Linked DNA regions of Saccharomyces cerevisiae S288C. The protein of the gene in region 1 interacts with the protein of each later gene in a pairwise test. Each region holds a gene or a part of one and is shown in the gene's direction. Other genes may lie near its edges.

What was found.
Region 2: the proteins of YPT35 (region 1) and YIP5 interact in a two-hybrid assay, tested with the Saccharomyces cerevisiae proteins (2 studies listed by BioGRID).
Region 3: the proteins of YPT35 (region 1) and KTR3 interact in a two-hybrid assay, tested with the Saccharomyces cerevisiae proteins (2 studies listed by BioGRID).
Region 4: the proteins of YPT35 (region 1) and RBD2 interact in a two-hybrid assay, tested with the Saccharomyces cerevisiae proteins (2 studies listed by BioGRID).

What each region holds. Positions count from the first base shown.
Region 1 is NC_001140.6:320,451-328,608, forward strand, and holds YPT35 (Ypt35p), read left to right. Parts: upstream 1-4,315; coding exon 4,316-4,960; downstream 4,961-8,158. Other genes in the region: SBE22 (Sbe22p), read left to right, coding at 1-2,522; GRE3 (trifunctional aldehyde reductase/xylose reductase/glucose 1-dehydrogenase (NADP(+))), read left to right, coding at 2,959-3,942; thioredoxin-disulfide reductase TRR2, read left to right, coding at 5,148-6,176; septin CDC12, read right to left, coding at 6,363-7,586; GGA2 (phosphatidylinositol 4-phosphate-binding protein), read left to right, coding at 7,853-8,158.
Region 2 is NC_001139.9:195,747-204,032, reverse strand, and holds YIP5 (Yip5p), read left to right. Parts: upstream 1-3,890; coding exon 3,891-4,823; downstream 4,824-8,286. Other genes in the region: YGL159W (uncharacterized protein), read right to left, coding at 200-1,312; AIM14 (putative metalloreductase), read right to left, coding at 1,760-3,472; SUT1 (Sut1p), read right to left, coding at 4,996-5,895; DNA-dependent ATPase RAD54, read left to right, coding at 7,630-8,286. UniProt on the Saccharomyces cerevisiae protein: Possible role in vesicle-mediated transport. May be involved in proper membrane localization of Rab GTPases.
Region 3 is NC_001134.8:628,996-637,626, forward strand, and holds KTR3 (mannosyltransferase KTR3), read left to right. Parts: upstream 1-4,626; coding exon 4,627-5,841; downstream 5,842-8,631. Other genes in the region: COS111 (Cos111p), read left to right, coding at 173-2,947; LDH1 (triacylglycerol lipase), read right to left, coding at 3,259-4,386; FTH1 (Fth1p), read left to right, coding at 6,151-7,548; DUR12 (bifunctional urea carboxylase/allophanate hydrolase), read right to left, coding at 7,708-8,631. UniProt on the Saccharomyces cerevisiae protein: Possible glycosyltransferase that transfers an alpha-D-mannosyl residue from GDP-mannose into lipid-linked oligosaccharide, forming an alpha-(1->2)-D-mannosyl-D-mannose linkage.
Region 4 is NC_001148.4:84,009-92,105, reverse strand, and holds RBD2 (putative rhomboid protease RBD2), read left to right. Parts: upstream 1-6,808; coding exon 6,809-7,597; downstream 7,598-8,097. Other genes in the region: IQG1 (Iqg1p), read left to right, coding at 1-1,484; signal recognition particle subunit SRP68, read right to left, coding at 1,790-3,589; UDP-galactose transporter HUT1, read left to right, coding at 4,073-5,092; YPL245W (uncharacterized protein), read right to left, coding at 5,156-6,520; YPL247C (uncharacterized protein), read left to right, coding at 7,910-8,097. UniProt on the Saccharomyces cerevisiae protein: Probable rhomboid-type serine protease that catalyzes intramembrane proteolysis.

The sequences.
Region 1 (8,158 bases):
TGCATTCGCTTAAAGAAGGTGAGGCTAGTGATCGTTCCAGCGAGATGCTTCCTAAACAAAGAAGTATCATAGGATCCCACGTGCAACGTCCACCGTCTCAAACAACTTTAGGAAGGTCAAGGGCTGGAAGCAATACAATGAATAAAGTTTCAGGCTTAGATATTGCTCGAAGACCAAGTGAGAATTTATTATCAAACATGAACTGTAGCGACAACGGCAATGGGGGAAATATGCTAAATTCATTCGTTAACTCGGCTTTACCACCGCCAAAAGTCAACCCTGCTCAAACAAGACGTGAACGTCCCGCTTCAAATAGCTCAATAGGTACCAAGACTACCGAGGTATTTTCATCCACTTCTGCATCTTCCTCCTTGGGAGATACCAGCGATGAGGGAGAAGGCAGTGATGCCGACAAATCTAAAATAAATACTTTTCCCAGCATATTGATGGAAAAGGCTACTCAAGGTAGAGGCGCTGATGGAAATGGAATGAGAAGCGCAAGCAATAATACCATTGTGGAAGCAACTACGGACGGTTCCAAAATGGCACTGCAAAAAAGCATGTCGTTTGATGATACAGCCGCAGAGAAAACTATGAATAAATCTAGACATTCTTACCAAGAACAGTTCTCCTCGAAGAAAAGCCAGTCATCTTTACTGAACAGCAAGCAAAGATCACGTGCTAAATCGCAAACATGCTCGTCTACGGGTTATAACAACAGCAGCATTCTGAAAACGTTTGGCATAAGCTCCAAAATTTCTAATTCAAGTGATCGGATAGAGGCTTCGTCATTAGAATTTAACGTTCCATCTCAGAAACCTTTGAATTGCAAGCCATTAACTCCGTCTCAGAAATACAGACTTCGTAAAGAGCAATCGGAGATGAATTTAAGAAATACAATCAAAAGAAAAGAGAAATTTTATGATAGTCAAGAACAAATTCTTGAGTTACAAGAGGGAGACGTTGATGATTCGTTGATTTGGAACGTTCCTATGGCATCATTATCTACTAATTCATTTCTAGCGTCTGCTAAGCCCGATGATATGAATAACTTGGCTGGCAAGAATGACTTATCAGAATATACCGGAGGTTTGGTAAATGATAACTCTGAAATTTCTTATACAAAACAAAATCATAGGTACTCGAACATCTCTTTTGCGAGTACAACATCAAACGCCTCATTATTGGACTTTAATGAGATGCCTACGTCTCCGATTCCAGGTTTGAACAAAGTAACTGATTTTCAGTTCATTCAAGACACAACCAAGAGTCTAGCCTCTGTTTATTTGCATTCTTCCAATAGGCTTTCAAGATCTAAGCTGTCCGAAAGAACAAAGTCTTCCGATTTCTTGCCAATTGAACTAAAAGAAGCTCAAAATCAAGGCATGGAAGATTTGATACTTGTCTCGGAGAACAAACTAGATGTGGTCAGCCATTCAAGACCGAGTTGGTTACCACCCAAGGATCGCCAGGAAAAAAAGCTTCATGAAAGGCAAATTAACAAAAGCATGAGTGTTGCTTCCCTTGACCAACTAGGAAAAAATAAAGACAGAGAAGAAAAGTTGATTAGAGATGAAACAAATAGGCAAAAATATGTGTTATTATTGGACAGAGATATAACTAGAAACTCCTCCTTACAAAGCCTAAGTAAAATGGTTTGGGACACTCCATTTAGTGACGAAACTAGGTCAACAATTTACAGCGAAATTTTACAGAGCAAGACTAGGTTTATTACCAAAAACTATATTCAACCATTTCATGAGCTACAGGAGCTTTTAACAAAAATGGGAGACTTTCCTAAAAACAAGGAAATTGAAATATCGCAGCTAATCGAAACAAGTTTGAGGCGAAAAGTGAGCGGTTTACATGATATATGTCCTGATTTGATGCTTTTATTGAAGATAAAATCTATCTCATCACAGGGTATAGTCACCGGTGATGAACTCCTTTTCCATCATTTCTTGGTGAGTGAATCATTTCAGAACCTGGGGCTAAACGAGATTTGGAATATTGTTAATTTAGTACAAATGACGTGTTTTAATGATCTTTGTAAAGAAAAGTTCGATGCAAAGGTTTTAGAACGTAAGGGTGTCGTAGCCGGTTATTTATCGCAAAACGAGGAGTTCAAGGATGAATTTAATACGGAGTGTATAAACTCTACCACCTGGTGGAACATCCTAGAACGTATTGATCATAAGCTTTTTATGTGGATCATGGATATTATAGTAGTCAACAATTCCCAGAGCTACAAAAATAGCCCAATCAACGAAGATGAGTTTGTTAACAAGGATTGGGAATATTACCGCTCGAAGAAAGTGGTAATAAACTACAAGATCTTGATTTCATTTGCATTAAATGTATTGTTAAATTACCACTTTGGATTCACTGATTTAAGAAGTCTTTGTAACGTGAATGACCAGAGATTTTGCATTCCAGTATTCATCAATGATGAATTCGTAGACGCAGATACTGTAAATGCCGTGTTCATCAAGAAATGGGCGCATTACTACAAGAAGTTTTGATATTTTTTGTAACTGTAATTTCACTCATGCACAAGAAAAAAAAAACTGGATTAAAAGGGAGCCCAAGGAAAACTCCTCAGCATATATTTAGAAGTCTCCTCAGCATATAGTTGTTTGTTTTCTTTACACATTCACTGTTTAATAAAACTTTTATAATATTTCATTATCGGAACTCTAGATTCTATACTTGTTTCCCAATTGTTGCTGGTAGTAAACGTATACGTCATAAAAGGGAAAAGCCACATGCGGAAGAATTTTATGGAAAAAAAAAAAACCTCGAAGTTACTACTTCTAGGGGGCCTATCAAGTAAATTACTCCTGGTACACTGAAGTATATAAGGGATATAGAAGCAAATAGTTGTCAGTGCAATCCTTCAAGACGATTGGGAAAATACTGTAATATAAATCGTAAAGGAAAATTGGAAATTTTTTAAAGATGTCTTCACTGGTTACTCTTAATAACGGTCTGAAAATGCCCCTAGTCGGCTTAGGGTGCTGGAAAATTGACAAAAAAGTCTGTGCGAATCAAATTTATGAAGCTATCAAATTAGGCTACCGTTTATTCGATGGTGCTTGCGACTACGGCAACGAAAAGGAAGTTGGTGAAGGTATCAGGAAAGCCATCTCCGAAGGTCTTGTTTCTAGAAAGGATATATTTGTTGTTTCAAAGTTATGGAACAATTTTCACCATCCTGATCATGTAAAATTAGCTTTAAAGAAGACCTTAAGCGATATGGGACTTGATTATTTAGACCTGTATTATATTCACTTCCCAATCGCCTTCAAATATGTTCCATTTGAAGAGAAATACCCTCCAGGATTCTATACGGGCGCAGATGACGAGAAGAAAGGTCACATCACCGAAGCACATGTACCAATCATAGATACGTACCGGGCTCTGGAAGAATGTGTTGATGAAGGCTTGATTAAGTCTATTGGTGTTTCCAACTTTCAGGGAAGCTTGATTCAAGATTTATTACGTGGTTGTAGAATCAAGCCCGTGGCTTTGCAAATTGAACACCATCCTTATTTGACTCAAGAACACCTAGTTGAGTTTTGTAAATTACACGATATCCAAGTAGTTGCTTACTCCTCCTTCGGTCCTCAATCATTCATTGAGATGGACTTACAGTTGGCAAAAACCACGCCAACTCTGTTCGAGAATGATGTAATCAAGAAGGTCTCACAAAACCATCCAGGCAGTACCACTTCCCAAGTATTGCTTAGATGGGCAACTCAGAGAGGCATTGCCGTCATTCCAAAATCTTCCAAGAAGGAAAGGTTACTTGGCAACCTAGAAATCGAAAAAAAGTTCACTTTAACGGAGCAAGAATTGAAGGATATTTCTGCACTAAATGCCAACATCAGATTTAATGATCCATGGACCTGGTTGGATGGTAAATTCCCCACTTTTGCCTGATCCAGCCAGTAAAATCCATACTCAACGACGATATGAACAAATTTCCCTCATTCCGATGCTGTATATGTGTATAAATTTTTACATGCTCTTCTGTTTAGACACAGAACAGCTTTAAATAAAATGTTGGATATACTTTTTCTGCCTGTGGTGTCATCCACGCTTTTAATTCATCTCTTGTATGGTTGACAATTTGGCTATTTTTTAACAGAACCCAACGGTAATTGAAATTAAAAGGGAAACGAGTGGGGGCGATGAGTGAGTGATACTAAAATAGACACCAAGAGAGCAAAGCGGTCCCAAAATCATTTGAGTAACCGGATATCTATCGGGATATTAATAGCAGCTTCCATTTCAACTAAAACAACAGCAAGATATGAGCGACAAGATATCCTTTCTACCTCCCGAACCCATCCAACTACTTGACGAAGACTCCACGGAGCCTGAACTCGACATTGACTCACAACAAGAAAATGAGGGACCCATCAGTGCGTCAAACAGCAATGATAGCACTAGCCATAGTAATGATTGCGGTGCCACAATTACCAGAACAAGACCTAGACGAAGCAGTTCTATCAATGCAAACTTTAGTTTTCAAAAGGCTCATGTCAGCGATTGCACCATAGTCAATGGCGACCATGGAACAAAGTTTGCTGTCTGGAGAATTACCGTATTTCTTGAACCCAACTTGAAGGCTTTTGCGGCCAAGAGGGAAAGCTATAAAATCCAAACCTATAAACGATACTCCGATTTCGTCAGATTACGAGAGAATTTGCTCACAAGAATCAAGACAGCGAAACCTGAGAAACTTAACTGTTTGCAGATTCCACACCTTCCCCCTTCAGTGCAGTGGTACAGTTCTTGGAAATATCAAGAAGTGAATCTGAACAAGGACTGGCTGGCAAAAAGACAGAGAGGGCTCGAGTACTTCCTCAATCACATCATCCTTAACAGCAGCCTCGTAGAAATGACCAAAGATATACTCATACAGTTTCTAGAGCCTTCAAAACGAGTTGCATAGCTCACCATCCCTATCCAACCGACTATTCTTCTCATCGACTACTACTATCCCATTTAACTCGGGCGCGTTGTTAATTAATCACTCGATGGGGAATGCCTTGAGCTGACCGCAATGAAAACTTTTAGGGGATCGTCCAACATTAAAGGAAGAACGAAACGGACTCCACAGTTTCTAATATAAATAAACAATGATAAAACATATAGTTTCGCCATTCAGGACGAATTTTGTTGGCATCAGCAAGTCCGTGCTGTCAAGGATGATTCATCACAAGGTTACAATCATAGGTTCTGGCCCCGCTGCCCACACCGCTGCTATATACTTGGCAAGAGCAGAGATGAAGCCCACATTATATGAGGGAATGATGGCCAACGGAATTGCTGCTGGTGGCCAATTGACAACAACCACCGATATCGAAAATTTCCCAGGGTTTCCTGAATCGTTGAGTGGCAGTGAACTGATGGAGAGGATGAGGAAACAATCTGCCAAGTTTGGCACTAACATAATTACCGAGACTGTCTCTAAAGTCGATTTATCTTCAAAACCATTCAGATTATGGACCGAATTTAATGAGGATGCAGAGCCTGTGACCACTGATGCTATAATCTTGGCCACGGGTGCTTCCGCTAAGAGAATGCATTTACCAGGGGAGGAAACCTACTGGCAGCAGGGAATATCTGCCTGTGCTGTATGTGATGGTGCAGTCCCTATCTTTAGAAACAAGCCATTGGCCGTTATTGGTGGTGGTGACTCTGCGTGTGAGGAAGCGGAATTTCTTACGAAGTATGCGTCGAAAGTATATATATTAGTAAGAAAGGATCATTTTCGTGCATCTGTAATAATGCAGAGACGAATTGAGAAAAATCCAAACATCATTGTTTTGTTCAACACAGTTGCATTAGAAGCTAAGGGTGATGGTAAGTTATTGAATATGTTGAGAATTAAGAATACTAAAAGTAATGTGGAGAACGATTTAGAAGTAAATGGACTATTTTACGCAATAGGTCACAGCCCTGCCACAGATATAGTTAAAGGACAAGTAGATGAAGAAGAGACGGGGTATATAAAAACTGTGCCTGGATCGTCTCTGACTTCTGTGCCAGGTTTTTTTGCTGCAGGTGACGTTCAGGACTCTAGGTATAGACAAGCAGTTACTTCTGCTGGTTCCGGATGCATTGCTGCTTTGGATGCAGAACGGTACCTAAGTGCCCAAGAGTAACGTGAAAAAACCGGTTTATTTTTGTTTTTACTGTTCGATTGTGTTACGTATTCTATGTTTTTTGAGATATATTTGAAATATTTTTATAAGATACATATATATATGTGCGTATTGCTGCGACAAAAGAAGAGACAAAGAGATAGGCGTTGAAATTGACGAGACAAAGAGGAAGACATTAATTAATCATCATTTTAAATGGGATTTTTTTACTTGCAAGCTTTTGACCTGCTCTTCTAGTTTTTTTACCTTTCCTTGAATTTCTTCCAAGTCACCGTTCAGTCTGATTCTTTCGTTAACAATGTTTTGCTCCCATTGTCTAAATCTTTGCTCCTCAGCTTTGACTTGGTCAGTGAAATACTTCTTCAATGCATTTTCTTCTTCTTTGTATCTAGGATTGTGTGACAATTTCCTTGCTGGTGCAATTGCTGGAAGAGTGAAATCTTCATTCCCCTCCCCGGTGTTCTCGTGACCCTCAAGTCTTAATCTTCTGTATGTTTCGTAATGCATTTCTTGGGTGGTAGAAATCAAATCTAATAGATAAGTCCTCAGTAACAGGGCTCTGAGCTTACGGAAATCACAATGAGAATCGTTTTCGATTTCCACAAGTCCCCAAGGATACTTCCTTGCAACTACCTGAGTGCCTTGCCCATTGTCAAATTTTTTTTCAGACCCTACTATGGCAAATGGCATTGCTTCTATCAACTGTCTTGCATGTTCAACAGCGGCAGAATCTGGATTACTGCCACTTTTGGCATCTTCCTTAGAATCAGCGTCTAATGGAGGCGTGAAAATACGAATTTCTTGAGCTTCTATTACTTGCCTGATTCTGGACTTGAACTGTTGTAATTCTTGGGCAGTCAATGTATCAGCTTTCGCAATAACTGGAATCAGATTGGCTCTGGTTGACAATCTCTTCATAGTCTCAATGTCAATTGGCTTTAAACCATGTCCAGTGGGCCTGATGAAGTACAGAACGGCATGAACTCTCAAGTCAAATTTCTTAGTACGGTACGGTTGCTGCTCTTGACGCATATAAGAATCGTGTTGATCATCAATAAAATCCACCAATGGTTGCCAGGCTTTGTTGTTATTCACGTTATCTCCAAAACCTGGGGTGTCGATGACATTAACGCGTAATTCGAAATGCTTCTCTTCCAGCAAAGCTCTTGTGATGTCGATTTCTACAGTCTTTCTGATGGGTTCTTGGCGGTGTTGCTGACCATCTGCCCTTTTCAAGACAGTCTGAAATAAGGTATTAATAAATGTAGTTTTACCCAATCCGCTCTCACCACATAACATCACGGTGAATGTACCACCTTCTTCATTAACAATTTTATAACGCTGGTTGGGAAGATTGGATATCCCTACAGGAGGAGGAACAGGGGCAGCAGTCGCAGTGGCAGCACTCATTATTTGATACAATATGTGATGTAGTTCGTTATCAATACTCTTCAGGTCAAGATCCTATATCTTGCTGCACCTTTCAAGACTTTGATCTACTCAAAACAAACAATGGTGATTTCGAAAAAAATTTCGGATTCTTCACTTTTCCAGCGCCCTGTTTTTTTTCTGTAATCACGATTGCAAAAAAAAGAGACTTACCATAGGACAATTTCCATAAACAAAACAAAGAGCAACATAACTCATAGCTGAATTGCTAATCGTGATACTGCATCATGTCCCATCCGCACTCACATAGCATATATTTGTCTGAGTTGCCCGTCAGGAAACCTCAAGCCTTGGGCAATCCTCTTTTGAGGAAGATTCAAAGAGCTTGCAGAATGTCACTTGCTGAACCAGACTTGGCGTTGAATCTTGACATTGCTGACTACATTAATGAAAAACAGGGCGCTGCCCCTAGGGATGCTGCCATTGCACTTGCTAAACTGATCAACAATAGAGAATCGCACGTGGCAATATTCGCGTTATCTCTATTAGACGTGCTTGTCAAGAATTGTGGATACCCATTCCACTTGCAAATT
Region 2 (8,286 bases), on another chromosome or scaffold:
TATTTTATGATGTTGTTTTCTTTCTGCACTTTACTTTTATTCTTTTAATAAATATAAAAAATTGCAAAATTTCTATCAAACTGCTCATATGTAAACATCAAAAATCTCTTCCGGATCGTAAGATATTAAAAAAAGTATCATATTTAAAAACACTTAAGAACCCTTTTGAATATAAAAAAACTAGAAGCCAAGATGCAATTTATTCCTTGTTTTCTGTGTTTTTTGTTCTCAAGCTTAAGAATTCCTTAGCAAGCGCCACGTCCATAACCGCTAGACCAACAATTTTACACAAGGTGATAGTTCTTTTGCAGCCCTTTTCGTTCAAATTCAAAACTGTGTTTTTCAAAGTATCTAATTCACCAATTTCGATGAGATTATGTGGAGCGATATTGGAATCGATTAATTCTCCAGATTCCAATAAAGTATGTTCCCTTGAATCTACCAAAATGCAAGCGCTTTCATTATCAGATTTGAACTTATCAATCAACTCCTTATCGCATTCGTGCATCACTGGTTTGTAACTTCCAATTAATGAGATATAAGTATGTTTCTGCTCCACAGAAGCTTTACTGTTTAGCAACTGCCTCAAAAACAAGTTGGGCTCTAGAGTAGGTAGACAACCAAAGATAATATCACTGTTAGAAACAGCGCCATTACCTTCTGAACTGATGTCGTTTATTTGATACTGATTAAGCTCTATCTTTATATTACTTCCAAATAAGTTTTTCAATGATTTCAAACGATCCAAACTCATCATGTTATTGTGATATAGTATGTTTATTTCAACTAACTTCAAAGATTCGCCAACAATCCCTGACATGATTAGTTTAATAGCTATGTATATGTGCCAAAATGCTTGGAGACCGGTACCAAAACATGTTAAATAGCAAGTGCCATTTTCAAATCTAAACAACTTATCATGGGAACATGAGAGTTGCTTATATAAACCGATACACGATGCAAGGGCAGTTCTTATAGCGGTAATTTGTTTAGCCTCAAAACATCCGATTAATTTTCCTGTTTCAGGCTCAATAACATTTATCACACCTTGAAAATTTTTGTTGTTGTTATTCACAAGAATTTTTATTCCTGAAAAATCCTTGCTCACAACAGGCATGAATATATGGGATATGTTAGAGTCTGCATTGGTTTCATCCAATTTTTTGAACATCCTATTGAGCAGTATCTCATGGTTTTGAGAATATAATCTCAATGACTCGTGCAAGCTGAGAAGAGATTCAATAATTGTTTGAGAAGAGCAGTTTAAGTAAAACTCTCTAACCTCATCATCAGTAATTATGGAATTGTTCATATCAGTTGAATCAGTTGCCAGATAACAATAGCTAAAGAGATGATAGATATCAAAAAGAGCCGATAACGTTGGCCAGTAAATTATATTTGATTTTTAGAGGACATGGCCACAGGCCGAGCTTTTCGATCCTTTTTCCTACTGCCCTCTTGAAATATAAACCGAGAACAACAAGAAAAGAAGCTTTTTGCTAATGTAGCTCCCAATTTTTTTGCAGACAGCCTCCATTTTAAAACGATCATCTCTAATATATCTCCATTTACCGATTAATAATGCGTACAACCTGTCAAGTGTATTCTAATAGCCGCGCAAGAAAGCATATAAACTAAAGGTCATTAAAAAACAGATATGTATTTTTTGTTTTCTATATACTATAAATTAGCATCTAATGTCGTGGAATATCATTTCCGAGCATATTGCGTAAGACATTATTATTCTTTTCTTTTCCCCTCATAATCCGTAAGTCTCACAGACAAAGTTGATCCTTTCATCGTTACAATATTTTTTAGACAATTGTAATAACGAGGGAGGACCACATGAAAACAACCATGTTTCATTTTGGTTCACTTGTGCACTTTCATTGTTGAAGCTCTTCAATTCGTTGGAAAGAGTAAAACTGTGTTTGGATTTTACCTCGATCATGCTTCCATTCTCTTTTGTGGGGCTATGACTTGTCTCTGGCGTATTGTCATTGCTGTCCGCATTTTCTGAATTGAAATTAGAAATCGAAAGGTCTTCGTCTTCATTGTTGAAAGATCCCATTTCATATTCTGAGTTTTCATCGTCGATATTGGTCGTAATTTCGTCTAACCGTGTTTCCGCCGTGTATTCTCCACTAATAAATACTGAAATCCTCTTATTATTCGAGAGTTTTTTCTCAAAAGTCAACCCATTTGTCTTGAGATAATCCAAAACAAGTTCATATTCAGAGTAATCTTTTATCAGCCAGATCATTTTCAAGTATTTTACATTCTCCTTGTTAAAAAAATGCCTAAATAGTGGTAGGGCAAAAGATATACCAGACCCACCACATATAATAGCTATATTCGTGCCTTGAGAATAACATTCTTCGGGTACAGAGGGAGGATAACTATTAATCAAAGTATAGGTTTTTTCTTGATCTAAATGAAAGGATTTTGGATTACTACGAAGAGACTCTATCTGGCTACCTGGCTCGGCTGTAGAGGTTTCCTTTATAATAAGATCAATTGAATTGTCTTCTGCCAAAGACGCAATTGTGTATGGATGCGATGGTAGCAACCAATAGAGGGGATTAATTCTTCTGTAAGGGCTTATTCTAATATGCGACCCTGGTTCAAAATAATCTGGAAGAATAGCCCTGGGCAATCTTACATGGACTAAATTTGTTTTTGAATAATTCGCATTCTTATTCAAAATCATCAAGGATTTCGCAAATACTATTCTATTGATAATATGAATGAATAATAGGGTACAGTTTAGTAGAAGAAATGGGAACTTAACACCTGGCCTAGAGTGTATTGGGGTGAGTAAGATGAAGGCCACGTTCACCAGGTTATGTACGATGTAAAACAAACGATAGTTGTATCTTCTCATTGGCCCAATCGAGCAAATAAGTAAAAAAAGTACCAATATTGATATTATGAATCCCGCAAAATTGAAAGTTTTCAGAATCAATTTTTGCTTTAGAGAGACATTATCGTCTATCGCCCACTTAATGATGAAGAAAATCCCATGAAGCAAACCAATCACGGTGATAATACGTGAAAACCATTTATGGAACGGTATAAAATCAGTGTAGGTGCAATTTTTCCTAAGGAACCAATTAGGCCTTAAAGTGAGGAATAGGTTCAGCGGGATCAAGGCGTAACTCAACCTCCCTAATCTTTTGAGATAGACCGTAGATTGGGTAGTCAAAGAGTAATGGTAATAAAATGGAATCAAGACTGCAAAAAACAATATACCTAAGTGAATTGCAGGATCTATATCATACAACCGATAAATTATCTTATTTTTGAAAGCTGACGACGATCTGGATGGGGTTCTCCTTCCGAAAGCTCTCAAAAGAGCCAATCCAATGAGATAGACCAATGATATTATCAACACATAATACCCATACTTGATATTGGCAAAATGTGTCTCGGAATGTCTTTTAACCAACGTTATGAGAGGGGATTCTTTCATATTTATTGGAAGGCTTACCAAATTAGAAGTTTCTGGCGACGAGATATGGAAAATGTAGTTTTTAAATAACACGTCTACAATATAAGGAAGGAAAAGTCAAAATATTTTAGCGCCTTTAAGTGCGGTTGAGACCCCATAGTAGTATCCCTACAAATAATAGTTAAACTGTATTTTCAATACATAACGTAACAGTATATCGGTATTACGGAGCAGCGATCAATTAAACGCTATTTACCCGGCTGTGTATTATACCTAATTTCTCAAGCAGTGAAAATGTATCAACGTCCTACGCTCAAGGTAAAAGGGGCCAAGGGCAGCGACCACATTGGATCCAAACGCATTGGTTCTGTAGTTCTTTTTTACGCTTCATCCACGATTGTATACTAGCAAATAGGATTGACTCGACAAAAGCAGAAAAATGCCGTCCAATAATAGCAGTTTTTTAGATATTGACGATGATCTCGAGGGTGTAGATGATTTTGGCAACGAGCCCAACCCATTTGATGATGCCACCGTACCTGATAGCCCAAACATGAATAACTCGACTGCTGGAAAGGGTAGCGAATTTTATAACACAACGGGCAGTAAGGCAGAATCCGCACCATTACAGGGTCAAATGGACCCACCAGCGTACGACCAAGTGATAGGACAGAATGACAACGACGGTCTTGGGCGTAATGGATTGAGGCCAGGATTGATAAACTACTATTCTAAATACTTCCAGATCGATTTGACGCAGTTCAAAAAGAGATTGTCCGCGGTACTGACGTTTAGAAACGATCATAATTCCGAAAGTAACGAAGATAACACTGATTTATACGGTGCTGTATGGATCACTGCCACGGTGGTAATGATCAATTTTACCATGAGTAGGGGGTTAAATTTTATTATCAGTGACGTAATTGAGGGCGTCAAGACTGGTGAGGACATCGACAGGGCCAGTCAGTTTAAGAAGCTACTGCATTCTATTTGGCTATTTTACGGGTACACGTTCGGCGTACCATTTATTACCATGCAAGTATTGAATAGAGATGAGCACTCGGAGCGCAATAGAAGCTTCAAAAGTGTTCCTGAATTGATTTCCGTTTACGGGTACGCTAACTTGATCTGGATACCCGTTTGTGTTATATTGAATATATTGGATATGTCCAAGCGCCTGAGGACTGTTCAAGCAATTCAATGGGCAATTGTGGCTCTTGGGTGGGCACAGTCGTCTTATTTCTTGAATTCTCAAATATCGAGTAATAATAATACGGAGACACAATCGAACGGGAAATTTTCGCTGTCCATCATCGTTGTCGTTGCGCTGCATACTTTATTCTGTCTATTGTTCAGGTTTATAATATTTTGAAAATATGCGCACGTCTATACACACAATACTTTTTATGACTAGTATCATTGTATACTCTTATTATGTAGGGTTATACATGAGTGTTTATACGTTTTCTGTGTGTACATATATATCCATATATGTTAATGCTAAATGCAAGTTTTGTGATGCTATTCATTAGAGATGCCTTTGTCTAAAAATCAATGCTTTTATAGTCATCATAGGTTATGTCGTAAATGGTTTTATCCTTAAATTTTAAGGAGATTTTGGATGAAATGTTTATGTCAGCTCTGGTAAAGCCTTTTGAAAAAGTACATTTATCATTTTTTGGGAAATTAGTGGAAGAAGAAGAATGCTTTTTCTTAATGCATGGTAAACAAGGTGTGAGCAAAACCAACTTATCAATATGCTTAATCAACTTGCGTGAGCCTGTACCCTCAATGACATCATCCGGTATGGCAATATTCCGCAACAGCGTGCCTCGATATAGCCGAATATCGTCAGGAGTCAAGACGTACCGCAACTTGTTCGAGATCATTGGCATTATAGTATCGTCTTGAAGCAAAATCTCAATTTTCGCATTACATTTTATTTTTTTCAAACGACATTTGTCACAACTTGGGCCACTTCTTTGTCTCTTGGAAATTGAACTAGTAGATGTGGCAGAGGAGGTTGTCGAGTTGCTCGTTGAGCGCGAAATTATAGACATTTGAGTGCATGACGCATTAGCGTCTTCATTGACCATGGAAGCAAGAGCATGAGGATGATACTCAAACAATGGTGGAGTGTAATTTTGTGGAGGGGGAACAATCGCACTTACGGGGAGCGTTGGCGGCGGCGTCACCGTGGCAATACCAATAGCGCACTCATTACTGTCAGCGGCAGCAGGCTTTAATCTCTTATAGCCTCCTAAAAGCTCGTCAGTCGGAAAAGCCCGCTTCCTCGTCCAAGTGGTCGACAAGAGTTCTGGATCGGTGATGCCCACATTTTGGGTGCCTTTACGCCGTATATCTTTTTCTAGCAGGGAAACATTGGGGAGCAATAGCGGTGGTAGCGATCGATCTCTATTTCTTACTGTAATGCTTGTGGACATCTTCTTTTGACATACGATGACCTCAATGATTTAGATTATGTGTTGCACTTTTATAGACCTACCAAAAATCCAGTGCGTACACTAATACTTTCATAAAGATACCTGAAACAATAACCAGAAAGATCGGCAAAAAAATTTTTTTTCTTTGCCGAGATCACAAACCTACTATGACGAAAAAGCTTGAAGTTTAGATGAGTAAGGAAAATACAAGTGACGCTTTTATATGGTGCAAGGAACAAAAACTAAAAACAACAAGGCAAATGTGGATCTGTCATGTATGGCAACGACAGCAGGATGGCTCACAAAAAAAGACAAAAAAAACTAAGGCAAAAGAACAAAGCTCCTCTCCTGCTCAAGAAACGTATTGTTGAAAAACCACCGTCGTAAGAAAGTTTTTCTGTGACCTATAATGGTTTAAAATCGGCCCATTTTTTTTCCCTCTTTTGTGGTCCAGTCTTTCTCATACTCGAGGGAAATTCGACACAAACAGCGGAGAAGTGTGGCTAAACCGGCAAGTGCCTGCAAGATCCACAGAACTAACCGCACGAACTGGCGGTCAGAAAAGAGCCTGTTCCGGAAAGAGAGAAACAGAGAAACGATCATGATGGGAAAGCGGGGATTCGGCGAAGAACGAGACTGGAAAGGGAAAAAGAGAAATACTGGTGGAAGTATTCGGACCTTTGGCGAAGTCCGAACCCTTGAAACCCAAAGATGATCGATGATTCATTTTTCAATGCGCTACGGTTCCTGCCGCTCGTGGGAACCCCACGCAAAACATATTATTCGCTTCTCTCTGCTGACAACTCCGGTTTACGTTATACCGTATTAGGATCACTATAAGGGTTCCTTCGGGAGGAGGGGGGAGGGGAAGAATGTACATCGTCATAAGGCCTTTATGGTGTGAAGTGGGTTTTGCGTGGAAAATTCGTTTTCAATGATATAGAGCCCACGCATATACGTACATACTAGTGGCCAAAAGCGTGGGGTGGGCGGACAAAGCTACACTGGTAAAATACAGGATTCTATGAACAATAACAACAACCAGCTCACGTTGCTGAACAGCCGAGGTCAGCCGATGCAACCGAGGTTTCCAAAGTAGCATTTCTGTGCTAGCTATGTCTGTAGGTTTACATTTAATGGTGCGTGGTTCCAGCTTCATGTGCTTGCATGTGATGTCCTGCAGATGGTAAGAAGATTCTGAAAGCCGCGCTAGGAGAAAAATATTCTGCTCGAAGATCTGTCCTCTTAAGTAGAAAGCGTGAAATTGTTGCGTTCTTGCATTACTACTCAACGCGTACGCAAATGCGTCTACTGCACCTGCATGATAAAGCTTATGTATCAAAAATTTAACATCTTGAAAATACACAAGTGGTGCAAAGATGTGTCACGTTCTGGACCTGAGTGGTGCCATGTATGCTATTTAACATGCAAAGGGGAAGACCCTTCCGCCTTACTGCAATAATAAAAAGTATTTTACGCGTTACCCAATATAGCAAAGTTTCGCGCAAAAAAAAAAATAAAAAACAATTACAAACAAAAAGAAAAAAAAGGAAATAATAGAAGATCTAACTGAAGCGAAGGCCAAAACTCTTCTCACTTGACGTAATAGCCGATACAAAATCTAGAGCAGCAACTTTTCTCTTTCTTCACTAAAGCTGCTACGAAAGTATAGAAAAATCAAACGCTCAGAACTTAGCTCTATTTCAAGGTACCATATATATTTCCTTATAACTGATGGCAAGACGCAGATTACCAGACAGACCACCAAATGGAATAGGAGCCGGTGAACGGCCGAGACTGGTACCTAGGCCTATTAACGTACAAGACTCGGTGAACCGACTAACGAAACCGTTCAGGGTCCCGTACAAGAACACGCACATCCCGCCCGCTGCTGGTAGAATCGCCACCGGGTCTGATAATATCGTAGGAGGAAGGAGCTTGAGGAAAAGATCAGCGACTGTATGTTATTCCGGCTTGGATATAAATGCGGACGAAGCAGAGTACAACAGCCAAGACATAAGTTTTTCTCAGTTGACTAAACGACGGAAGGATGCTCTTAGTGCTCAAAGGTTGGCCAAGGATCCGACAAGACTGAGTCATATCCAGTACACTTTGAGAAGATCTTTCACTGTGCCAATCAAGGGATATGTACAAAGACACAGTCTGCCATTAACGTTAGGAATGAAAAAAAAAATTACTCCAGAACCTCGACCTCTACATGACCCTACAGACGAATTTGCCATAGTGCTTTATGACCCGTCCGTTGACGGTGAAATGATTGTCCATGACACATCTATGGATAACAAGGAAGAAGAATCAAAGAAAATGATCAAAAGCACACAGGAAAAGGATAATATTAACAAGGAAAAGAATAGCCAGGAAGAAAGACCC
Region 3 (8,631 bases), on another chromosome or scaffold:
TTTTATTCCGTTTACTAGATTATATTTGAAGATATTTTTTTATTCTTGAAAATCCCGGACGATAGTATTTTTAGCTGAAGAATATTTGCGGGGAGGAACTATATAGACACTCGAAGCAAGAGGGGAAAAGGAGAAAGAAAAAAAGGTACACTAAACAAGGTCGAGTGTATTGATGTCAAGTGCTTCAAGACTTCAAAACGTCAATATTGTTTCTAACAACTATTCTCGTTACGGAACTTCCGTTTACGATAAGTTGTATCATAGTAACGGCAGTGGTAGCAATAATGCTGGTAAGAATTCTACCACAGTTGGTAAACTGTCATCTATCTCACAAAAGTCCAGGAGCAAACAGCGTCATGGCTCAAATTGCTCCAGATCAATGAGTCAATCACCCTTATCGACGTTCAAATCTCCACTCAGCAATCAAAATCAATCCAGCGCTCCTGATGATTTGGCTTCCATAGGTCAGAGACGCAGTGACGACGTCACATCTTTAGATAATGAAACTATCATAACGATGAATTCAAGGAAATCAAGGATTAAAAAAAAGTATAAATCCTTAATCTCCACCTCTTCAAAAAAATTTATGAATAAATTGTACGATCATGGTGCTTCATCCGACTCATTTTCTATATTTTCTCTGAAGACTTCCCATTCTGGTAAACATGAAAATTCCAGATTTGAAAAGCTGAGGAAGAGAAAATACCATGCTTGGGGCAAATTTGCCGATATCAACGATTTACCAGTTGAAATAATTGCCAAAATACTTTCTGAATTCGAGTTAGGTCGTGATCAAAAGACACTCGTAAGATGTCTATACGTATCGAAGAAGTTTTATAAGGCGACAAAGATCGTCCTTTATAGGCTACCTTACTTCACTTCCACTTACAGAGTGGCGCAGTTTGTCACCTCACTAAGATTACATCCGGATAACGGGGCATACGTGAAAGTATTGGACCTATCACACTTGAAGCCGGGAATTATAGGCCAAGACTCGAAGGATTCTCAAGGCCTAGACGATGATGGCCACTCAAGGCGTCACAGACGCCGTCGCCGCAGATCTACTAACACAAGTTTGAATCTACCTCCAGCTACTCCAACATCTACCATTTCTAACGAGGATGATGCCAATAGCGGATTAATCAAAGACGACGCTTCAAATGGCAGTGAAGTTGAAGACTTGGCATTAGCTGGTTGGAGAGACTGGAGATACAGAAATGAACCCCTTTATAGCTCTCCTCTGTTGAACAGCTTTAAACTGAAAAAAGTGGTTTCTCGTTCTTCTTCTATCACTTCTACATCTTCTGGAAATTCCACCGGTGTTCACTCTACAAGGAGACAACGTTCCAATAGTTCCGTTGCTTCCATAACGACGAGTATCATGTCATCCATCTATAACACCTCCCATGTCTCATTGTCTTCAACCACGTCTAATACCAGCAATGGTAACATCTCTTCTGGTAGTAATCTGTCAAGAGTTTCCACTGCTGGATCATTGAAAAAAGCTTCTGCGAAGTCCACAAGGTCATCTCCTCAGAAAGCAAAACCTATATCTGACATTACGTCATCTTCCTGGTTTAGAATGAGGTTAAGTTCAAGAAATAGAAAGGCAAGGACAGCTAATACGATTAATTTAAAGAACTCGAAGGATAAGTCTGACGATGACTTTAAAGTTTTAAAGCACGATTCGGGGCATCCATCCAATTATCGTTCTTCGACATTAAAATTTAGCATTGAACAACCATTTAGTACGCATCATCCGTATGCCAACAAATTTCTTTTAAAGTACGCTCCTTATAAAGATCTGCCCCTAGGTTATATTTTACATATGCTGAACCTGTGTCCTAACCTTGTTGAACTAAACCTTTCCAATTTAGTTATTTGTACCGATTTCAAATTAATCAACCAAAGATCCGAAAGAAGAAGGATGACATCTTCACTGTTGCCCGCTGTCCAGGAGTCTAGTGTTTCTGCAGGCCCTGAGAAAGATTTAGAAATTGTCTATATGACCGATTCTGGCAAAGGTTATGAATATTATGAGGGGTTAAGCAAGAAACACTCACGTTCTTCAAGCCTAGGTACCAATCCATCTAGTTGGATTGGAGGTCAGGCGAATTGGACAGATTACCCACCTCCAATCGATGCACAAACGAAAACAAGAGAGGAACACAGACGCAACAATACCTTGAACAATAAGAACGTCGTATTAAAGAAGCTAAACCCTTTTGAAATTTTTGAAATGATCTGCAATAGAAATGAAGAAAAAGGTGGCTACTGCTCCTTAACTAAGGTGAAAATGAATGACATTGTGTGGTGCAGGCAATATATGGTAAAGTATTTTGTAATGAGGACGTTTCGCCAGCATTTGGATTATAAATCCATGGAAAACAACTCTTATGAAAGACACTTATTCAGTTTCCGGGACTCTGGCTTGGATAGAAATTTTTCCTGGGCTTGTAATGCCAAATTGCATGAATTTGTCGCATTGATGGTTATGGATCATCTTTCAAATTTAGATGATTTAGGATTAGAAGAGCTTTTTAATATCAAGTCCGAAAAGCTATATATAAAAAACTATTGTTGCCGAGACCCGGATATTCTCGAAATATCAAACTTATTTGATATTAGATATGGGGCCGGATCTGAGGCTGATGCTACTTCTGATTCCAATCTCGAAGCAGAATCTTTACAATTCAGGTTGACAATATTAAAAACAGAAAAGCCAACTTCATTTTGGCTCACAAAAGTTTCCAAAGATTATGTTTCTTTAGTGGTTAAATTATGTGTGGATGATGACATTGATATGGACAAAATGAAAGTTGGAAAACCAACTTTGAGAATAGACAGTATTACACACAATTTGATTAGTAGGTTAAAGGAGTTGAGGAGAGTTGATCTAAGGAGAAATGTTGGCGAAAATAACTACTATGCTGAAAGCATCATATAACGACTGCTCTCTTTTAACAGCATACGTTCTGTTAATTTATTTGGCCAAATATTATTGATGTTTATTTTTTTCTTTTTTGCATAGCCTTTCTACATTTCATGGCTTTATTTATTTATATTTATTTTTCGTTTCCTATTTTTTTGCATACATAGACACTACCTTTGATTTTTGCTTGTAAGATGTACGATATAAAGTATACTATGAAAAATTTGAAAATATTGGTCTTAGTTACTTTTTCTGGTTTGTTTTATCAATTCATGTAGCAGTGTGCACGAAAATCTAGTTACGCAATGTGAAATCTAGAAAACCTTCTACAATTTGGAATTATCAATCACCTCTCGTTGAAAGTTTTCACACACCAATTCTGGACGGTCGAAGCATAAATTATGAGAACAGTCAGGTAAAATAATCACTTTACGAAGACATTCTTTATTTATAGTTTGTTTGTAAAATTCCAAATTTTCAATAGGAGCTATAGGATCTTTTTCAGCGCCAAATATTATAATTTTCTGTTTCATATCCGTTTGCGTCAATACACCATTGAATTTAACCCAATCAACAGTTTCCCATCCTAGTAAATAACCTATGATGGTTCTACTTTTGTTGCTTATGTTGTTTTTAAATTGCCAGAACTTCCTGTATTTCAACTTGACATCATCACCTTGTTGATAAAAATACTGCTTGATGCCGGAACTTTGTAGACCTTTTACCTGATCGAATTTGTTTCTATAAACGTCAAATAGCCATGGCAATTTAAACACACCATAGAGAGCCCACTGGATAATATGTTTATCCTTAGAAAGCTGCTCGATATGTGCTTTGGGGGGCGTCAACAAAACTAGCGTTTGTACCGCTTTTGTATCAGCCATGTGCTGCTCGTAAAGATGACATGCCAGAAAACAACCCATAGAATGCCCTACAAGCACTATCTTATGACCGTTAAATGGATTTACGTTATCATTATTCGGCACCGCTGTAGACCATTTTCTTAAGACGTCACATACAAGAACGAAAATAAGTTCCACCACTTTCAGCATGGGGTAGTCGCTCCATTCTGAACTATGACCAAAGCCGGGCAGATCTAACGTCAAAAATGCCTTTTGATCAGAGTCCACAAGCTCGAGTAAGGGTTCAAATTGTTCTAAGTTGCCAGCCAACCCAGGCACGAAGACGAAAACAGTATCACCCCGTATCCCTTTATCGCTCAAGTTGTGACACGTCCTTATTCTTGAATTTCGATCCGATAGTTGTACATTAAAAAACTCCTCATGTTCTGCGATAAACTTCAACCTAAAGTCCAAATCTACCTCTGGTTTGCGAATGTAAGCTACCAAATCAGCTGCATTTTCTGCATTTTGAACAATCTCTTCTAGCGTCTTTCCAGAAAGGGGCTCACAGGACCAACTTTTTGTTGCTTCTGCACGTTCTGCCATATTCATTACCAAGAGAAAAAGTTCTCGGTTTAAGGCTTTCTTCTAACGTTGAGTTACGATCCAAATGCGACTGTACCATCTTGGTAGTTCTTTATTAATGAACCCTTTAAAATTGCCGGGTTAAAAGAATGGCGCGTCCTCTTGAAACTTTTCGAAGAAAACAACGTAACTGATGGTTAAAATTTGCATAAAGAAGGTCAGGCCTCGTCTGCGGACAACAACACTATCAATATCCAGCGTGCAATTATGTCTGTGCACCACAAAAAGAAGCTAATGCCCAAATCGGCATTGCTGATTAGAAAATACCAAAAGGGAATCAGATCATCATTCATTGGGCTCATCATAGTGTTATCCTTTTTATTTTTCATGAGTGGCTCAAGGTCCCCAGAGGTACCAATAGCTCAGGGCACCAGTGTCAGTCGTGTAGCCAGTAAGGATTATTTGATGCCGTTTACTGACAAGTCACAAGGAGTAATCCATCCCGTGGACGATGGAAAGAAGGAAAAGGGTGTTATGGTCACATTGGCCAGGAATTCAGATTTATGGAACTTGGTAAAATCTATTAGACATGTTGAAGACAGGTTCAATAACAGATATCACTACGATTGGGTGTTCTTGAATGACCAACCATTTAGTGATGAGTTTAAACGTGTTACCAGTGCATTGGTTTCAGGCAAGGCAAAATATGGGACAATCCCAAAGGACCATTGGTCCATTCCATCTTGGATCGATACTGAAAAATTCGATGAGAAAAGGCTTGCAATGGGAAAATTGGATATTCCATATGGTAGTTCCGTGCCTTACCGTCACATGTGCCGTTTCCAGTCAGGGTTCATATGGAGACACCCACTACTGGAGGAGTACGAATGGTTTTGGAGAGTGGATACCGATATCACTTTATTCTGTGATATTCAGTATGACATATTCAAGTTTTTAAAAGTAAATAACAAGAAATATGGATTCATTCTTTCGGTAAGTGAATATGAGCGCACAATCCCAACCTTGTGGGAAACGACAAAGAAATTCATCAAGAAAAATCCTAAATTCTTACACAAAAATAACCTCATGAAATTCATTTCGAATGATGATGGTGACACTTATAATATGTGTCATTTCTGGACCAACTTCGAAATCGGCTCTTTAGACTTCTTCAGGTCCGATGCATACAGAGAATACTTTGATTACTTAGACAGTTCTGGTGGATTCTTCTACGAAAGATGGGGGGATGCGCCAGTGCACTCCATCGCTGCCTCTTTGTTCTTGGACAAGTCAGAAATCCATTTCTTTGACGGTCTTGGATTCCATCATCCAGATTTCACCTCTTGTCCTATCGAACAGAAGATTAGACTACAAAACAAGTGTATCTGCGAACCTAGCAAGGACGTCACCTGGACTCCTGACTACTTCTGTACTAGAAAGTACTTTTCAGCAGGAAATTACAAGCTTCCACCAGGAATTTAAAAACCAAACTACAAATAGCGCCTGCTCCGTCAAAACAGGTGCTAAAACGTCAACATGTATCTATCTATATACACATAATTCAATGTAGTAGCCACCTCACTTTATTCTAGTGCCTTCTTGGGTTCAAAAATGGGTGCGGTGCGGCCGGAGATGAAGAGAGAAAAGCAAAATTGTATCTAAACCAGCCTACAAAAACACAAACTTGATATTATAAAGAATCAAGCATCTTACTGAACTTTTGTCCTCTACAGAAAAGCGAAAAAACTCTAAGAATAGAGAACTAGAGTGGTGTTCATATTTCTAGTCACCATGGCGTTTGAGGATTATTTTTCTTTCCAGATATTCTTCATTTTCTTAAGGGAATCCTTAGAAATTGTTGTCATTGTTTCTATCCTGTTGACGATCGTCAAACAAGGTCTGTCTGTTGAGGACGACAGCCCGTTTGAAGGAAGTTCCTCTTCTGCTGGTCTTCCAAGTCCAAATACGAACACAAACGCAGATTCGACCACTGCCTTCTTACAAGCAGGGCCTTCAGACGGTAATGCTATTGGAACGTCCGCTACGGCTGCTAATAATAAATCGAGGCCGCTAAATGTGGAGGAAGAAGAAGAAATTTACGAGTACTCTAATGAGCTTAGAGACCAGGACCGCGAGTCCGATGAACATACGGCTGACAACGTTAAGCTATATCAGAAATTAAAAATACAAATTCTAGCGGGCGGCGCATTTGGTTTGTTGCTGTGTATGTTAATCGGGGGTGCGTTTGTTAGTATCTTTTATCATATTGGAACCGACTTATGGACACTGAGTGAACATTATTATGAAGGTGTCTTAAGTCTTGTCGCGTCCGTTATTATTTCTGTCATGGGGTTGTTTTTTTTAAGAATGGGGAAGTTAAGAGAGAAGTTCAGAGTGAAATTAGCTTCTATCATTTATTCAAAGGACAATAATTTGCTGGGAAACAAAACCCAAAAAGGTGTGAAATTCAGTGAAAAGTACTCCTTCTTCATATTACCATTTATAACGACTTTGAGAGAAGGGTTAGAAGCTGTTGTATTCATTGGAGGTATCGGTATTGACCAACCACTATCCTCGATTCCCCTCTCTATGGTCCTTGCTACTGCAATCAGTACGGTGTTCGGTATTTTTTTCTTCAGGTACTCAAGTTCTCTTTCACTTAAGATATGCCTTGTAGTCGCCACCTGCTTCCTCTACTTGATCGCGGCTGGTTTGTTTTCCAAAGGTGTATGGCAACTTGAATTGCAAGACTACGTCAACAAATGTAACGGTCAAGACATGAGTGAAGTAGGAAATGGACCCGGTTCGTACGACATATCTCGTTCTGTTTGGCATGTTAATTGTTGCAATGGTGAAAAAGATGGAGGTTGGATGATTTTTACTGCCATTTTTGGTTGGACGAATAGTGCTACCGTCGGCTCTGTAATTAGCTACAACGCCTACTGGTTGGTATTAATATGCGCTTTGAAACTGCTAATGATAGAAGAAAAATACGGATATATCCCATATCTACCTATTAGCTGGCAAAAGAAACGTATTATGAAAAGATTAAGCATTGCCAAGGCATCGCTCGATCTCAAACATCATACTTCTGAACTCAACTCTAGCACATCAGAGCCAGACAGTCAAAGACGGTCCAAAGATAGTTCTGTGCCCCTAATAATTGATAGCAGTGGTTCAGCAAATTGAGAACATAACAAACACACGTAATAATTTTAAGCTTCTTTTCATACATTTTACAGTAAATACTATGTACATATATATTCGTCATTAAAAATAGCTAGAAAAAGGCATGCTATAAAGACTAAATGAGTGCTCCTTTGATTTTAGATGCCAACAAAAGGTAATTCATGCCAATGTCTCTATGACGGCCACTATGTCACCAGAATCAACCATATCACCATTGCCATGGCAAATCTTGATAATCTTACCCGATTTAGGAGCGGATATAATCATTTCCGCTTTCATGGCTTCAATAATTAGTAGCCCTTGACCTGCTTCAATAACATCTCCAACAGATGCTATGGATTTCCAAAAACGCCCAGAATACTCAGAATATACAATTTCTGCACCTTCTGGGAAGTCTTCTTCCTCGTCAGGTTTGACTGTGACACTTTCTTTTAGTTCAGAGTTTGCATTTTGAATCAATTTGGCAAATTCCTCTGCTCTTTCACCAAGCTGGCCCTCCTGGAATGCTGTGATGGAATCTTTGTTTGCGTTGATCCATCTCAAGTATTCTTGATGATCAAAAACACTCTTTTCGATATTGACTTTATAAACACCATTATCACAATCTTCAGTCATTTTATCCAAATCTTCTTCAGAAACTGGGTAAAATTCGACTTGGTCAAATGGGTTCATCAACCACGGAACCTCAGAAGATGCGGCCAGACATAGTTTGTCCCAAATTGGTATTGTTCTACCCACTAATTGGTACCCACCAGGACTGTTAGCAGCATATATGCACATATACATACCGCCAATACCGACTGCACCTCTTTCTGTATATGTTCTACTTGGGTTGTACTTGCTTCCCAAAAATCTGTGACGAGGATCTAATGGAACAGCACAAGGCGACCCTAGGAAGACATCACCTAAACCTAAAACCATAAATCTGGCAGAATACAACATATCATAAACTTCATTCCTTGAAATTCCATTTACATTGGCAATGAAATCAACGTTATTTGGCAACCATGGAGCAGACGAACGAATTGTTTCTTGATACCTTTGAACACATGCCAAAGTCTTCGAGTCTTCGAAAGCCATCGG
Region 4 (8,097 bases), on another chromosome or scaffold:
GGTACCTCTGCACTAAAATCTTCTGCTACGCGGCAGATAAGAATATTGAGGAGATTGACTCTTTAAGGGCCATATCAAGTATTCTAGTGAACGTTTTTGTGTCTGAATATTTGGTCAACCGGGAATATTACGGATACAAAGACAGCAACGTTCAAAAAAATAACCAAAAAATTGACATTCTAATGAAATCCTTGGCGACTGTTTTTGAAATCAAAAATTTTGATGGCTTTTTGGATCCATTGAACCAGTACGCTAACGAAATAAAGCCTCATATCAAAGATGTCCTTTATAATGTGTTAGTAGATCCAGAGTATGAACAAGAGGGAGATAGATTGATTTATTTGGATATGGTATCGCCAAGCCCCAAATTGGAATTGTTAACTGAAAAGGTTCTGGAAATCAGTGGTAAATTTGAAGAGTATTTAAATGAATTTCCGGAAGCAGATATTTTGCATGATATTTTGGAAAAGAACTTGGACAATTCATCCTTTCCAAGATCAGGACGTGTTACCTTGGAATTGGATGCATCTGCATATCGATTCCTCGTTAGTGATGACAAGATGAGAAAAATCTACGACCAAGTTAAAAGGGCATTTGTGTACATGATGCAAATTGAGGATGTAGATACCAATTTGTATGACCTTTCAATTAGTACAATTCTACCTCAAGATGAACCAAATTTTGCAAATTTTCTGGAGCAAAATCCTAAAATCAGGGATGATCCAATGATACAGAAGCTGAAACCATTGAAATACTTCACACTCAAAAATGTTACTTTGAAAAAAATACATGAACTAGAAAGTACGGGGACTTTTTGCTCTTCTGATAATAAGTTACAAAATTTCTTAAACGATATTGCGAACACTATTAAAAATCCCAACTATGCCATTGATTATGTAACCCAGGAAATTTACATCACAAAGGAAACACTCACAAAAATTTCGGAAATGAACCACAGCTTAGATATAGAATTATCAAGGCTTAAAAAACATGTTGATCATACGATAAAAGACTTCCAGAAAGCCAAGGATTTTTCGCCGGTGCACAAAAGTAAATTTGGAAATTTTAAGAATGCAGTAAAAAAAGTTCAAGGAAGAGAACGTTCTGAATTGCAGGGAATGAAGTTTAAATGGAACACAAAGCAGTTGTATGAAAGAGGAGTGCTTAAAACCATCAGGGGTGAAAAACTAGCTGAACTGACTGTAAAAGTCTTTGGTTCGAGCGGTCCTAAATTCCCAGATATAATATTCAAAATTTCCACATCGGATGGTTCTAGATTCGGTATTCAAATGATTGACAAAAGAAAAGGGCCCGATAAACGATACTCGGATGATGTCGATTCTTTCTCATTTAAAGACTTGATAAAGACTCAAGTTGAACCAAAAATCGAGACGTGGAAATTATTCCATTCCAACGTTGTTGTTAACAATAGCCAATTACTACATTTGATTGTCAGTTTTTTCTATAAAAGGAACGCTTTGTAATAGATAACTCGGTTTTGAGCATATTGGGCAAAAGCTGTTACTAAATTTTCCCATTCTTTCTATTTTTATCTTTGTTTTTATTTTCCTTATTTTCAGCAGCAAAAATAATTTAACGTATAGTTATGTAAAGGACCCTAAACATCTTCTTTTTAGCATGTGCTGTAATTTGGCGATATCTTCAGTAGATAAAAATAAGATGTGTTAAGTAATGCACTTCGTTATTTGGCTACTATAGTTGGCAATCATCATTTGTTTAAATGGAATAATCTATATAGTACTATAAATACAGTCATACTAGAAAAATATTAACGACCAAATAGGCCCAAGAAACCACGCTTCTTTTTAGGCTCTCCTTCCGTCTGCTCATTAGAAATTGGTGTTTGAGAGATGCTCTCGGTTTCTGTGACTGAATCTTTCACTTGAGAAGCTGAGGGCTCTTGCTTATCATATGTTATGTAGTTGAAGGCCAAATCAAAAAGTGTTGGTTTACTAGGAATGGGCAGCATTTTTGGCTTGAGAGGGAATAAATTTTTCAATTGTATGTCCGTTGGCAGTATTTTTTTACTATCCAATTTTTCAATCACTGTCAAATCATATTTCCCTAAGCTGCCACCATGATTTCTTTTTTCGTATTCCGCCAAAGTAATGACACTATTACCACCGTTTTCGATTCTCTTTTGTAAGCTTCGGACAGAATTCAATGACAAAAGATTTGCTGGAAGTAAGATTTCGTCTAGAGATTCAATTTCAGATAATTTGTTTTCTAATCTTCGGTAAGCGTCCACATATAGAGCTAACGCCTCCATATATCTGCCTTTCGACTGATATAAAACACTCAGGCAGCCCGTATTCAGAAATAACTGGAAATACAGCTTGCATAAGTCTAATTGGCTTAGCAGCTCGTCATCTGAATACACACCAGGTAGCTCCATTATGTCCGATAAATATTTTGTCAAATTCTTCACAATACGTTCCATTTCTTTATATTTGGTTAACTTCGATGGTAATGAAGTATTTAATTTCAGCCATTGATTCCATAAATGAGTAAACAAATCTCTTTCACGAGATATAGAGGTCAAAAGAATATTATATTTAATGTAGGCTAAAATTATCTGATTGTTTTCAGAACTATTTTCAACCATCTCGTCTATGTCATCTTGATCGTCGTGGTTTGCGATGAAAAATTCATGACGGTCTAAAGCTTTCTCCAATTTTGATAGCCTCTGTGTATATTGAGTAATCTGAGTTGGGTGGATAGATAGACCTTGTTCCAAAAATTGAGCAACTTCAGCATCGATTATCTTGGCGTTGAAAGATCTCCAGTTTATGTTAGTGGTAACCTTTTGATCTTCAGTTGAGGTTGTAATTTTTTTCATATTGAATCCATTGTCTAATAACAATTTCACAAGCTCATCGTCCTTGTTCTCATCAGATTGAACTCTTTCCACGATAAAGTTATTTATTTCGGGCGTTGTAATTAAATTTCCCGCGTACTGCTTGAGAGAGTACTGGTATTTATTAACAATGTTATCTACAACTTCTTCAGCTAATAAGCTTAGATTCTTCAAGTGTTCCAATGCGGCGAAAACGAGGGCTAGGTTGTTCGAAATTTTGGCATTGTCCTTCCTCTTGAACCTTTTTCCATTAATTAGGTACTCTGAATGTACCAATTTAGCGAACGCTAAATATTGGGCACGAGTTATCCATTGCTGTTCATTTTGAGTGACGTTAACCAATTTATCAGCAGTCTTGCAGGCCTTCTTCAATCTTGTGGATAAAACCTTTTCTTCACTTTTCTTTAACTTTCCTCTTTGACGAGCTCTCAATTTCAAAGTTTCAGCCAGTGCCAAGTCCCTTTCAGCGTGTAGTAAAATCAAAACACCAATCAATTTAGTTTTATTATCATAATCCTCGGAGTTAATTTCGCCATACTTATTTTTACTTGAGTATTTCTTTGTATCCTTGGTGACCAAATGGCAACGGCTCCTCAAGTGTTGCAACTTTTTATTCAATTTCGCATGATACTTAGCGAAGTCTGAGTCTGTTTCTAAAAACTGTTCTGCACGATTACCATAGGTGGCAATGATTGGAGAATAGGCAACCATCTTTAGTTTCAAGCGTGGCTAGTTTTTGATTCAATATGGAAAAAAAGAAAATTACACTGTAATATAATACAATTGATCACTTTGATGCTCAAATAATTCAAATAACCTAGTCTCCAGCTGCTCGTTTATGCTAATATTGTTGGATTAACTCTAGCAAATATACTCCAAAAAAAATTTTCAGAACTTATCACGAACAACGATGTGGTAAAGACAACGAAATACTACGTAAATCATATTGGTCTGCTCGTTTATAAAAGCTTACTCCCAATCAAATCACTGCAATGGAATATGTCGTTTGGTTCGTTGTTGTAGTTTGTGGAATGCCAGAATCATCAGCTGTTTCTCTTCCAAAGCTTCCCTGAGATCGCTTCTAAAGGTTGTTTTGTAGATCCCATCGAACATGAAAAAATGACAGCAATGTAATTAGAACCAGAATTACAACGTAACAAGAAGAAGTAAACAAGGCAGTATTCGTATATTTGTATGGCGGGAAGTACATCCAGTTTGGTGATCTGTGCGATTGGTATATATGCTACTTTTTTGACGTGGGCATTAGTACAGGAGCCTTTGGCTACAAGAACCTGGCCAAACTCCATGGGAAAGTTTCAATTCCCTAATGTAATATCCCTCATACAAGCTTCTGTGGCAATGATGATGGGCTACCTGTACTTAAACTGGAAGAAGGTGGAATATCCGCCCAGAAAAATGATTAAAGATCATTGGAAACAATTGATGTTGATATCATTTACACAGAGTAGTTCAGGCCCGCTGGCTACAACTTCTTTAAAGCACGTGGATTATCTCACTTACATGTTAGCAAAGTCATGCAAGATGATCCCCGTGTTGTTGGTGCATTTGCTTTTGTATAGGACGCCCATAGCAAGCCAAAAAAAAGTTGTAGCTCTCTTGGTAAGTCTCGGTGTCACTATTTTCACTATAGGTGGCAACGATGGTAAAAAGTTGAAGAGATCCTTTAATGAGAGCGGAAATGATAACAAATTACAAGGGTTTGGACTACTTTTCTCTAGTTTATTCCTTGATGGATTGACCAACGCCACCCAAGATAAGCTACTAAAGGCCAATAAGGCCAAAGAAAAGGGAAAACAAACTTTGATAACAGGTGCACACTTGATGTTTACACTGAACCTCTTCGTGATATTGTGGAATATTTTGTATTTTATTGTGATCGACTGCAAACAATGGGATAATGCCGTTTCTGTATTGACGATGGACCCACAAGTGTGGGGCTATTTAATGCTTTATTCGTTCTGTGGCGCTATGGGACAATGCTTTATTTTCTATACTCTAGAACAATTTGGCTCTTTAGTTTTGATCATGATAACAGTCACCAGGAAAATGGTCTCGATGATTTTGAGTATTATTGTCTTCGGTAAGAGTGTACGTTTCCAGCAATGGGTGGGGATGTTTATAGTATTTGGTGGAATCACTTGGGAAGCACTCAACAAGAAGAAGGCTAATATACCGAAGGCAAAATCTGCGTAGATTAGTGAAGATCGCAACAAATAAAAGTTAATATTTATAAAATTTGTCTATACTATGTACTTCCTATTTTTTTGATGGACGAAGCAGTCTCTCTCTTAATTCAGGATCGTATGCATAAACATACAGACCACGCACGCCACGAGTTAAGAGGACATTAATGCTATTCATAATAATCTTTTGCTTAACGTCCTCTGCATTGTGAATGTTTTTCTTTTTGGTGAAACCGGCCCTATCGTCATACAGCTCTGGTCTTAGTTTGATGCAGTCATTAGCCGCATCATACCCAATGGAACGGCCCAAAATTACACCAGCATAATTCAGATCAAACCCTTGGATAGTATACACACTACCTACCTCATCAATCGTGTCGCAACGCTCACTCCAAGGCGTCACTTCACGTGGAGTATAGCGATCCCAGCGAACTTTGAAATTGTCACCACATTCAACGTAATAGTCTTTTCCGTCCAAGCGATAGGGAAAATCGTAAGTAGATAGCATCCTACATTGGCCGTATTGACGGTCTTTCTCCTTGATTGCCTCGTACATGGCGCCACAATCATCCCAAATTTTGAAATCAAAATTCTTAATTTTATCGTCAGCACAATCTGCATTGCCCTTAGATAGCACAGATTCAATTGGTGGGATTTTACCTGCGACACTAATTTGGTCAATCCAGTTCAACACGTTTTGTGGGGCAGCAACCCTAAACTGCTGTTTTAAAGTGTACCAGTCTCTGGATTTTGGTGGAATCTCGTTGTAAAAGTCCTTTAAAGTGGCACCGTTATTAGAACCTTCATCCCAATAGGAACCCATTCTTAAAGCTTGCTTATCATCGTAAACCAATACAAGCACTTTACAAAGGGACATTAAGTCTTTGAGATGGTTTTCGCCATAAAATCTTTTGAAAGCATCCTTAGAAGTGGCCAACAAATGTGCTTCATCTACAATGACTACATCGGCCATGACTTTTCTCTTCTGTAGATTGTTGATCAACGAAGTGGGCCGTTCTAGTGACGATTTAGAAATATATTTGAAACTGTCACTAATCCGGATATATAACTTTAACATCTCGGGATGGTTGACTACCAGATAATTATGTGTCCCATGTAAGATATCTTCAGAAGAAGGTGAGAACTGGGATAGTTTCTGAATTTCATTGAACAAGGAGTTTAGAATCACAGACTTGCCTGTACCTGCGTCCCCTTGGATTACAAACATGGCCGGATGTTTCCAGTCAGACTTGTACTGAGATAAGTTGGAACGCATGAACGACAAAACGCGCTCTCTCAACTTTTCTTGTTCAGCAGAGAGTGTTACGTTAGACAACTTGTTCATAGCCTGCGTGGAGACCACGGGCCTAGGTGCTCTTCTTGGTCTCTTCACGCTTCTCACATTGCGGGAAATAGCTTTTGAAGTAGGCCCATGCATTTTATATGGTTCTAATGGAAGTTAAATGCTACTACCGGGTCGCCAAGAAAGATGCGATGCCATGCTGCATACATATGCATAGATTGTTTATATATGGCGATGGCTGCTTTTATGATTTCTCGAGAAAATTTTTCACTTTTTTCGGCCCTTTGAGATCTAAAGCCTCTTTTTTTTTTTTTTTTTGAACTGCATCGATACAAGAAGAATAGGGGGATGGGAAAGGCTTAATTGGAAGCACTGAGAACAGCAATTCACTCTGGTTGTTAGGTTGTGCTATTTGGTCGTGCTATGAATTGGAAGTCGTACGTTTTTCCCGGTGGTCATCCACCAGCTGCGTTGACCACAGGCCTTGTGGTATTTCTAACCGCTATTTACCTGTTAAGTTTTATTTTTGCCCTAAGGGAAGACCTGTCGTTGGCGCCAGAGTCATTGTTCAAACTGCAAATGAGCAGGCTATCGCTTTATCCTTTAATTCACCTATCATTGCCTCATTTACTGTTCAATGTGCTAGCCATCTGGGCACCCTTGAATCTCTTCGAAGAAACGCATGGGACTGTGTACACAGGTGTTTTTTTGAACCTGAGTGCTCTATTTGCCGGAATTCTGTACTGTTTGTTGGGTAAGTTGCTATATCCAGAAGCATTAGTTGCAGGCGCCAGTGGGTGGTGTTTCACCTTATTCGCATACTATAGTTTTAAAGAATCACAGATCCGCCCTAGAACAAGGATCTTTCGCACAGACTACTCAATTCCGACATTATATACACCCCTAGTACTATTAGTCGCAATTGCCGTCGTTATACCTGGCTCCAGTTTCTGGGGTCATTTTTTCGGCTTATGTGTCGGTTACGCCATAGGCTACAAGGAATCGTGGTTTAACAAGATCACTCCACCAGGATGGATCATCACCAAAATCGAAAAAAGTTTAGACGGTTTAATTCGATTAATACCTTGGGGAATTAAGTATTACAGAGATGAGGATATCGACAGAACTAAAGATTACGAACCGTTAATGTCCACAGAAACACCATTGCCTCTCCACAATGACAACTCCGGCACTGTCCTAGGGACTGCCTAGACATTTGTATCGCTATTCTTTCTTTCACAGTTTAAGGATGTATATAAATGTAGTATATATCATTTTATATTCTAATATGCAAGAATTTTCAGTCTCTTCTTTTTCCTTAGCGTGCGTTTATGAAAAAAAATGGAATATGAATAATTACTGGGAGGAAGACCAGGGGCAAGGGGTGAACCATCTTGTCATCTGAAATCTTGTATAAATAATTTAGTAATCAGTTCTTTAGGTTTTCGAGAGTGGCATACAACCTAAAGGGTCAACAGACAACAAGAAGGAAAGGAATTATAGGAGCAAATACACGCCCTTCAAATGGATCCCTTTCACAATGGCAATAAAAGGAGCTCAATATCGTTTGGCTCATCGCAGCGGCAGCCATATAACAAGAACAATTACTTGAGTGGTACTAATGGGCCTTCCTCGGCGGCACAAGATCAAGGTAGAGGCCCATCTCCCTTTGGAATGTCTGGCAACACTACCAATGGCGGTAACAGCAAAAG